Linked DNA regions of Mus musculus: region 2 is reported to be linked to region 1. The links are microRNA targets in miRTarBase. Many come from high-throughput screens and were not tested one by one. Region 1 holds a microRNA gene; the other region holds the end of a gene's coding sequence.
Evidence for each region. The annotated mature microRNA mmu-miR-742-3p reads GAAAGCCACCAUGCUGGGUAAA and lies in region 1 at 2,753-2,774, shown strand. An mRNA with a match to its seed (bases 2 to 7 or 8) in the 3' UTR can be bound and repressed. Matches are read on the target gene's strand: a 7mer-m8 pairs with bases 2 to 8, a 7mer-A1 pairs with bases 2 to 7 and ends in A, and an 8mer does both.

Region 2: miRTarBase lists B3glct as a target of mmu-miR-742-3p. Seed matches in the 3' UTR shown: 8mer at 1,370-1,377.

The regions. Positions count from the first base shown.
Region 1 is chrX:66,778,076-66,783,149 of GRCm38, reverse strand. It overlaps Mir742 (microRNA 742), which reads left to right and starts at 2,713; the gene lies at 2,713-2,777. It overlaps Mir883a (microRNA 883a), which reads left to right and starts at 2,317; the gene lies at 2,317-2,392. It also overlaps the pseudogene Gm14681.
Region 2 is chr5:149,758,845-149,763,918 of GRCm38, forward strand. B3glct (beta-3-glucosyltransferase) reads left to right here. Exons shown (of 15, transcript NM_001081204.2): 15 at 595-3,755. The coding sequence ends at 762. The region is part of intron 1 of Gm36141 (predicted gene, 36141); the gene reads right to left. Gm38587 (a long non-coding RNA gene) reads left to right here and starts at 4,338. Exons shown (of 3, transcript XR_001785033.1): 1 at 4,338-4,776.

The DNA of each region.
Region 1 (5,074 bases):
GTGTGCAGACTATGTTTACCACTTAGAACACAGCTGTCAGTGCCATCTTATAATGGCAAATGTGAGGGCGGCTCCTCACACAAGGTGAAGTTTTGCTTCTAGCACAGTCTCTACAAAGATTGATTTATAGATAAATAATACTTAAATTTGGTCTTATCATGTTTTTTATTTATATCTCATGTTGCCTCCCTTACAGTCCCTCTTCCATTGCCCCTCATCCAGGCTCATCAAGTCTGCATAATTAGGATAATCCTCTCCTACAGAGGCAGGACAAGGCTGACCTCTGCTACATATGTGCCAGGGGTCTTTGTCCAACCGATGTATGCTCATTGGTTGGTGAAAAAGTCTCCAGTAGCTTCCAGTGGTCCAGGTTAGTAGACATATTTGGTTTTCCTATGGTGTTCCTGTTGCCTTCAGGCCCTTCAGTCCTTTCCCCAACTTGTCCATAAGTCGTCTGAAACCTCTGTTCAATGTTTGGTTGTGGGACTCTACATCTATTCACTTAGCTTCTGGTTGGAACTTCTCAAGGCATAACAGAGTTTGCAAGCATAACAGAGTATCATTAATAATGTCAGAGATTGGTGTTTTTTCATTTGATGGATCTCACTTTGGACGAGTTATTGGTTGGCCATTCCTTCAGTCTCTGATCTATCTTTGTCCCTGCATTTCTTTTAGACAGGACAAATTTTGAGATTCCATCTTACACAAATCAGCATAGCTAAGATAAAAAACTGATGCAACAGCAGATGCTGGCAAGGATGTGGAGAAGAAAGAAGAACATTCCTCCATTGCTGGTGGGATTGCAATCTTGAAGACCCATTCTGGAAATCAATCTGGTGTTTTTTCAAAAAAATTGTAAATAGTTCTACCTGAAGATTCAGCAATACTGCAACCCAGATATTCTTCACCTGAAGAATAGATAGAGAAAATGTATTTCATTTACACAGTGGAATACTACTCAGCTATTAAGAGGGAGGACATCCTGAGTTTTGCAGTCAAATGGATGGAACTAGAAAATATCCTGAGTGAGATAACCCAGACAGAAAAGAACATGCATGGTATGTACATACTTATACCCATGACATACGCCCACAGACCCTAAGAAGTTAAACAAGAAGGAAGGCCCAATTGAAGATGCTTGAATCACACTTAAAAAGGGTAACAGAACTGTCATGGGAGGCAGAGGGAGCAATGTGGGTATGTGAGGGGGATATGTTTGCAGGATCAGGTGTGGGAAGGGAAAAGAAAGAGGCCCATAGGCCCAGGAGAATGAATGGAAATCTCTATCTTGCAGGGGACTTACGGGTGGAGGTAATCTCTAAGCAGACCCTGAGACCTAGGATAGGGAAGGCTCCCAGGAGCCATTGTGTGTGACCTTAGCTGAGATGCCTAACAATGTGGACATGGAACCTGAAGAGGCCACCTCCTATAAACAGGCAGGACCTCCTGTGAAAGATAAGGACACGAACCCACCCATAAAACTTTTGACCTAAAATCCACATTTTTTAAATTATATTTTTATTAATCCTTTACAATTTCATATTCACTTTGGTCATAATTATAATTAAGTTTGATAAAAGAATATGTTTTGTTGTGATCATCATTTCTCTTTAAGTTAGGGTAGTGACAGGTTTTTATGTGAAATGTACATGCAAAATCAATTGGATTTTCAATATCATCAGCTTAAGTGTGAAATCAAACATTTACAGACACAGTTTAGTGGGGGTGTGTTTAATTGTGAAGATTGTGATAAAAGCTGTTGGATGAAATTGTTGTTGTTGAGATGAAGTACAAAGGATCAGTCTATGCTATCTCAAAGTACAGATTAATACATACTGAAGCCTTCATTTGATATATTCTCTTGATGCTGATGACTAAATCATTGCAGGTATCTTGAGGTCTTGCCTTGTTCATTTGTTATTCTTTGGTGTCACCTGACCTATATATTTATAAGAATATTTGTCTTGTTAATTCTATTTTTGTTTTGTTTTGTTTTGTTTTTTTGAGACAGGGTTTCTCTGTTGACCAGGCTGGCCTTAAACGAACTCAGAAATCCGCCTGCCTCTGCCTTCCGAGTGATGGGATTCACGCCCGGCTATGACTTGTTAATTCTTAACCTCTTGAATTCATACAGATTCGAGGAGTATCAAGAAAGAAGCAAGTCTGATACCTTGAAATGGAGATGGAAGATAATGGAAAATATGATTATACTTCCTGAGGAATTATGTGTAAAGAAATAACATTGCATTCATGTCATACTGAGAAGAATCATGAAAGTTGTTTTTGAAGTCAGCTGATAATAATAATAATTCGTGTGCACTATAATGCTGAGAGAAGTAGCAGTTACTTTATTCTATAAGTAACTGCAACAGCTCTCAGTATTGTAAGGCTCAACAAACGCAGGGATGGTAGCCATATGGTCATATTATGCCTTCATAGAGAAGATAAATGTACTGATTCTGGATTATACTTCATCCATCTTCATGATATCTTCAGATCTATAACCATAGAGAAGAGAACGGTTGTAGAACTTTAGAAGTATACTAAGAAAAATCCTAATGGTGGAACATGAGAAGACAGCTTCGAAGAAGAATGTGTGGTTAAAAAAAAAAAGTAATTATTGTTGACGACTTACTTCAATGTTCTATTCAATTTTATTTCACATGTTGAAATAAAGACTTCAGATGGGCTGGTTCTAGAGTACCTGGGCAGTGCTCTACTCACATGGTTGCTAATCACGTGAAGTGTAGGTGAAAGCCACCATGCTGGGTAAAGTAAAGCTCATCATGTTCTTCATTTGTTGTGGCCTTGGGTAGTAAAGATGAAGAAACTATACATCCTTATTATGGCTCCAGAATCTGCTTCCTTGTACCTGAAGAAACTATGCTCTCATTTTTTTTTTAAGTTTAAATGTTGTGGAAGTTAGCATTATTCTAGCTTGCACAGAACCCAAATTATACAAATTATAAGAACAGAAAATTGCATGCCAGTCTCAATAGGGATCATGAATATAAATATCAGAAATAAAACCAATCAATGATTTCAGGCCCAACTGAATATCAATTCAAATATCTTGTGACAACTTAGATGATGAGTGCACGAAAGTGGACTGAAAAGCTACAAGTAATTAGAGTCTTCCTTTATAAATATGGCCCTAAGTGAAAAAGAACCAAACAGATTTAAATTCAAGTCACTGAAATTATGATGGTATCAGTGATTTGAATTTAAATAGACCAAGTTCCTATCTTCTGTATTCTGTAACTTTCTCCAGTAATTGAACAGCGATATACAGGTACAATTGTGTTGTATTCTCATCCTATGCTCCCAATATTCTGATTCTTTTAGAAGATTTTCATTACCTAGTTTTTAAAAGTCATTTGCAAAGTATATCACTGATTAATCTTAAAGTCACACTGGCTATCTGGCTATAGGTCAAGAGGTCTTCCTTTATCATGCAAGGTGACAAAGTATATTTTGTATTCCCAAACAGTTGAAAATAAATAAATCAATGTTAATATGTCATGCTGTAATTGGTGAAGTGATGAAAACTGCTTGGGATGATTAGCCTACATGGATGATACCTCCATATCTTCATGCTTTATGTTATATCTCACTCAAGAAGCTGTTAGACAGTTGGACTACCGACAAATCTTCCAGGTAAAGTACTGCTCTTTAATTCAGTTATTTTTGATAGGTTCTAGGTAGTATTAGTGCTTTCCATGTAAGATCACTGATAATGGTTTTCAGGATGATCACAAAGCCTTACTATACAATTGTGTGTATCTTTTTAATCACTTTCATGGGACAGCATTCAAGCATCTATGTTAGGTAAGGAAAAGGAGAACAAGGTGCTAAAATTAAGAATTATGCTTTCATAAAAAGAAAATGAGGTACACTGTGTTAATGAAAGACTAAACACAGAAACGGTTTGAGTCTTTGTTGCCCCATATCCTTACTTTTTCAACATAGTGTAGACTATCCATGTTTCACCTCATGGGTACTTTCAAAATAGAGAATGTAAAGAAAGAAGATAATCTAAAGAAAAAAAAAATAATTTCCTTCCCAGTAATTAAATAAAGTTAAAGGACTTTTATCTCTCTGATCCAGAAGTGGTAGAGATAGAAAGTGAAGGAGAGTATATATATTCCCTAAGAACTTGAGTTAAGGACTCCTGAAACTTCTTGGTAATGCAAGAGTCAGATGAGATGATATGTCTCCATTCATTTTGGTGTGTGCATTGTGATATAGGACAGATACCAGTCACTTTCTACTAACCTCTCTCAATATAAGGATACAGAAAAAAGTAAAACTTGATGAAGATGATGAGGACGATGATGAGGATGATGAGGATGATGATGATGATGATTTTGATGAAGAGGAAACTGAAGAAAAGGTCCCAGTGAAGAAATCTGTACGAGATACCCCAGCCAAAAATGCACAAAAATCAAACCAAAATGGAAAAGACTTAAAACCGTCAACACCGAGATCAAAGGGTCAAGAGTCCTTCAAAAAACAGGAAAAGACTCCTAAAACACCAAAAGGACCTAGTTCTGTAGAAGACATTAAGGCAAAAATGCAAGCAAGTATAGAAAAAGGCGGTTCTCTTCCCAAAGTGGAAGCCAAGTTCATTAATTATGTGAAGAATTGTTTCCGGATGACTGACCAGGAGGCTATTCAAGATCTCTGGCAGTGGAGGAAGTCTCTTTAAGAAAAGGGTTTAAACAGTTTAAACAGTTTGGGGTATCTCTCTCAATATAAGGATACTCATAAAGTACTGTCATTGTAAATGTAAGAACATAGATGCACATGCAAGAGTATTTTCTGATTCTAAGATCGATTGTAGCTACCTTCACAGGACATTGTTTAGGTGAAGATATAGGGGGAACCTTTCATCTAATTCCTATTTCTCATAGGTGAAAATATTTAAAATTAGGGACATAGCACTATGGAAAATAAGTTTAGTTTCATTTTAATTTTTAAGTGCTTTTTAAATTAAAATATTTTATAATTCTCCCCTTTCGTTTCTTCCCTTCAGCCACTCTAATCAACTAACCCCTTTGTTCTCTCTCTCATT
Region 2 (5,074 bases), not on the chromosome of region 1:
AAAAAAAAAAAAAGCAAAACAAAACAACCCCCTACACACACACACACACACACACACACACACACACACACACAGAGCCATCTAAAAATAGCAATGAGTTCATTTTGTGTTGGCCATCTACTGATGAACATAGAACCTGCCCTTGCATACCCAGAAAGACTCCTTTAGAGGAAACTAATTCTTCCTTTTTGAGCAGTTATCAGTTGAAGATAACTTCTGGGCTAGGGATAGGACCTTGTGTCTACTTCCTCTCTCAGCGCTGGGACCCCATCCAGCTTAGACGTGTGCAGGCCCTGCGCATGCTCCATGAGTTCATCTAAGTGCGTCAGTCCTGCTGGGTATAGAAGGCTTTGTTTCCATGTTGTCTTCGGTTCCCACAGTCTCCTAGAATCTCTCTATCCCCTTTCTGCAGACTCTTTGAGCCCCGAGGTAGAGATTTGGTGGTCCTTCTGCCTTGTGCAGTTGTCTCTGTCCCCATCTGCAGGAGGAATGAGCCGATCATTCTTAATCAGAAAACCGTAACCTGGGAAATCCTAACTCGGTGGTTTTTTTTGTTTGTTTTTTGCTTTTTTTTTTTTTTTTTTTTTTGAGCAGGCTCGGCCAGTAGATTACCCCAAGGACTACCTCGCCCATCAGATTCCAGTATCATTTCACAAACACTGGCACATTGACCCGGTAAAGGTGTACCTCACGTGGCTGGCACCCAGTGAGGAAGACCAAGCCACGCAGGAGACACAGAAGGACCCAAGAGAAGAATTATAGAACAGAGTCTGGGACACACGGATACAAGAGATTCACCCTGTCTGTTGAGCTGTGGTCCAGCTGCTCGTGTATGCTGTGTGAAATGGACACTTCCCAGTCCTTGTGGAAATAGGATATTTTCTGTATCGGTAGACTCATAAGGGAAACTGGGAAAAATCGCTTGTTTTCATAGATGTCGTAATTGTAACACGGCAATTATTGTGCCTATTTTAGCCCACCGTGGGCTGTAAATCAAGAGCTTTTTGACTGTCAGAGGAAATAAATGGTACCTAAAGTCCTTTTCTGTTTTCTCCATTGTAACAGGGACGCCAATACAAGAATATGACTGGCTATCATCCCACATAAACATTGAATCTTTAAACATGGATATTGCCAAAGGAATGAGCCTTTAAACCAATGGTTCTCAACCTGTGGGTCGAGACCCCCTAGGAGTGGCAGTTGGTCCTATGTCAGGAATCCTACATATTAGGTACTTACATTGCAATTCGTAATTGTAGAAAAATTACAGTTATGAAGTAGCAAGGAAATAGTTTTATGGTTGTAGGTCACCTCAGCATGAAGGAACTACTGTATTAAAGGACCACTGCCTAAGGAAGGTTGAGAACCATGGCTTTAAATGGCTCTATTGTTGATGGAAATTGGTTCCCAGGCACTCAGTAGGAATGAAATACTGAGGCTGATTGGTAAAACCTAAAACTCAATATGAATACCCCCAACTATACAATCACGGTTGCTTTTTCCCCTATTCTGCTGGTTGCACCCCCAAAACAGACTCAAGGCCATCTGGTGAAGGCTCTGCTCCCTGCCAGCCTCCCCAAAGCCCTCCGCCCCCAATAGAGTGGACAGAGTGTCACCGGAAATTAGGATGCTAGGTTGACAGGTCTCTTCTGTGTCAGCAGTGGGCGTGGGGGGGTCTGGTAATGTGAGCTGCATCTGGAGCTGGCCTGTTACTCCTGCTGTTCCCTGGGTGTTACATAGTAACTCGCTTCTGGCTCTGGCTCAGGCTAGACTGCCTCCGTCCTGGCAGCATCAGCATGGCCCCTTGTGAGAGGACAGCATGGAGATCAGCAATTTCTCTGGGTTTTAAAAGAATGAAATCTGAACAACATGCTTTAAAGCAACCCTCGTTTTCCAGTGACACCTTTTATTATGTCCTAATTTAACAATTCAGCGTTAATATATATAAAAAAAGAGTACTGTGTGTTAATGTTTAAAGTAAGATGATGATTTTGTTATATAAATGTCTTTGCACATGATTTGCTCTCAAGTTCCTAAGGTTGTATGTTAGAATCCTTTCCTTTTTTTCAATCTGTACTTCATTAACCTTACTTATAAGGCTCCTAAGCCCTTATAGCCTTTAAAGCCACTCCATCAGCAATACCTATGTGATTACTTTTTAACAATGTATATTCCTATGTAGCTTACTTCTGACTCATGTCCAAATTCATGCAGTAGTGTTTATCATCCTTTTCCCAAATTAATAAGCACCAGGATTGGTGTGTGGCCCACTACTTCTGGTTTCTGGTGGAACACAGACTATGAAAACTGATTCTGTGGTTCAGCTAGAAACTGAACTGAGGACAGTCAAGTGCATGAAAGGGACCATAATGGCTTCTGGGTGTCCTGCAGATGGCTGTAGCATCATTGCTGACACGGCAATGATGAATGCCACCATTGTGACCATTGCTATCATGGTACTTACCTTCTTGACCTTGCAGGGATACCCCGGGGGGACCTGGTTGCTACACCAGTGCCGCTCAGGGAATTCCTCAGTCCACCCCTCCCATCTCTGCTCCTGAAATGTTACCAACCAGAGAACAGAGGAAGTTTCATTTGGTAGGACAAAAGCTAGCGCATCTGAGGAATGAAGAATGTTCAATCTTTTTTCTCTGTTATGACCTGTGCCCTCTTTCCCCCTCCTCCTTCCCCTCCCCCTCCCCCCTCCCTCCAGGATCCTGCTGGTATTTCTAGATATGTGGTTAACTATGTTTCCCTTTTGGAGCTACAGAAGTCTCATCATGAATACAATGTCTTCAGCTTACTTCTGACCTTGCATTTTGTCTATTGGTTGAGGCTAGATGTGGGGTGGGTAGGAGCATGCTGGACAGGCGCTGAGAAATTGGGAACACTGGCAGATTACTAAGACAGTCAATGAAAACTAAACATCTTAGGAAAAAGCAAAGAAAAAAAAACAGTTTTAAAAGAACCACGTGTTATGTTTTATACATAGCAAATGGCAGGCTCTATTTGAACACCAACTGAGAATTGATATCTTAAAAAAAAAGAAAAAACAAAACAAAACAAAAAACCTTAATTTTGAGCCTGGATTCTTCAGGGCACATCCCTCCCTCTTTGGTATTCTTTTTCCCTTTAAGTAAGGATTTCTTTGCCAGTAGATATTTTTATCCTAAGGATTTAGCACCAAGGATTTATGTATAGAATTACCTGATAGGTCATTTTTACTTTTAAGCCATTTCTCATGACCCAGCACATCGCCTGCCTGTAGAATTTTTACATCTTACAGCTAAATCAGAAGTCGAGACACAAAAATAACCTTTGTTGAATGCTTGGGACCGTAATCGCTCAGCAGCCAGAGTTACAAACAATGCTACGCAGGGCCGTGTTAGATGCCAGTGTTCACTGCGTGTCCTGATTGATCGACGACATTTAGTACGTTGCATCTATCATGGTTATTGATGTGTATAGAGAACCTCAGAGATTCACCACACAGTAGACATTTGTAAGAATATTTGTGGTGCCTCCCGTTCCTTCGTAGATGTGTCATTTTTGTGGAAGAAAAAAAAAAGCAATCAATGTACCATTAAGTACACTATAGCAGACTTACAAAGGGGCTTTGTTCCTGCTGTCTTTGAATGACAGGCCTGAAAAGGTGCTATTTAAATTGTTTATGTCCTCAAGCCCTCTAAACAAGTCACCTGCAAAATGTGTTCTCCTCCTTTCTATAGAATAAAATAAAGGATTTGTTTCTGGTATGCTTTGGCTTCTGTTGTCTCTTTAAAGGCATGATACTCCAAGCATGGGAGGGGAGGGGAGGGGAGGGGAGGGGAGGGGAGGGGAGGGGAGGGGAGGGGAGGGGAGGGGAGGGGAATGATCAGGAATAAGGTACTTTAACAAAAAGCCAGGACTTGGTTGGGTCCAGTTTAGAGGCTTCTTTGCAGGGAGCAGTTAGAGAGGAGGTCTGTGTGAGAAGAGAGTATTAGGACGAAGAGTTGGAAGATTAAGGAAGCTGAAATTTCACTAGTGGCTATGGAGGGTTTTATAGTCCAGAGGGACTGGCCAGGGTGCAGGTCCCCAACATGAAAGGGAGTAGAGAGTGTTCCTCAGCCGTCATTGTGAAGTTCAGATGATGGCCAGCAAGCAGCTGGATACGAAGTCTGGGCTTCAGGGCAGCCAGAGGTTCAATATTGAAAATCATGAGTGTTTCAAAAGCTTACTATCTCTGAGTTCTATGTAGATGTGTGTGTGTGTGTGTGAGTGTTGTGCTCATGAAGGCCCAAGGTGTCAGATCTCCTGGAGCTAGGAGTACCTGCTGTGGGTGCTGGGAACTGAACTCAGGTGCCATGGAGGAGCAGCCAGTGGTCTTGAGCCCTGAGCTATAAATTCAGCTATATATTCAGTTCCAGCTGAATCATGAGCATTTGAAAGGGTCCACCCTCTCAGGAGTGGGTAGGATGAACTGGGGAGAAAGTGAAGGAGAGAGAGACAACCTGTGTATGTGTGTGTGTGTGTGTGTGTGTGTGTGTGTGTGTGGAGTGTGTGTGAGGAGTATGTGTGAGGAGTGTGTGTGTGGAGTGTGTGTGTGTGTGTGGAGTGTGAGCTGCATGTCACAGCCAGGGGAGGTATTTCAAGAAGCAAATGTCCCATTCTATTCCAGCTGCCAAGAGGTCCATTAGGAGAGGAAGGGACTGTGTGATTCAGTGTCTTGGAAATCATGTGACTGGACACACCCATCCCCAGAGGTTGAGGAGCAAGTGCAAGTTGAAGACAACTGTGGTAAACATCTCTCTCTCTGTCTCTCTCTGTGTCTCTGTCTGTCTCCCTGTCTCTCACACACACATAGGCACACATAGAGAGTTCTGAGCTTGTCCATAGTTGAAGAAAGGAAGGTGGGTTGAGACAGAAGATGAAACCTGAGGCGTGAGGAGTTGGGCTTTCATGATGGAAAGTTCTGGAGCCTGTTGCAGAGAGCAGTACTGTCTACCCTGGCTGTGACAGTGGGTGGGGCTGGCCATGTTAGTCATGGCTCTGTGTTCGCAGGTCTCTGAGTGCTTAGGAGAACCTTCTGTAAGTG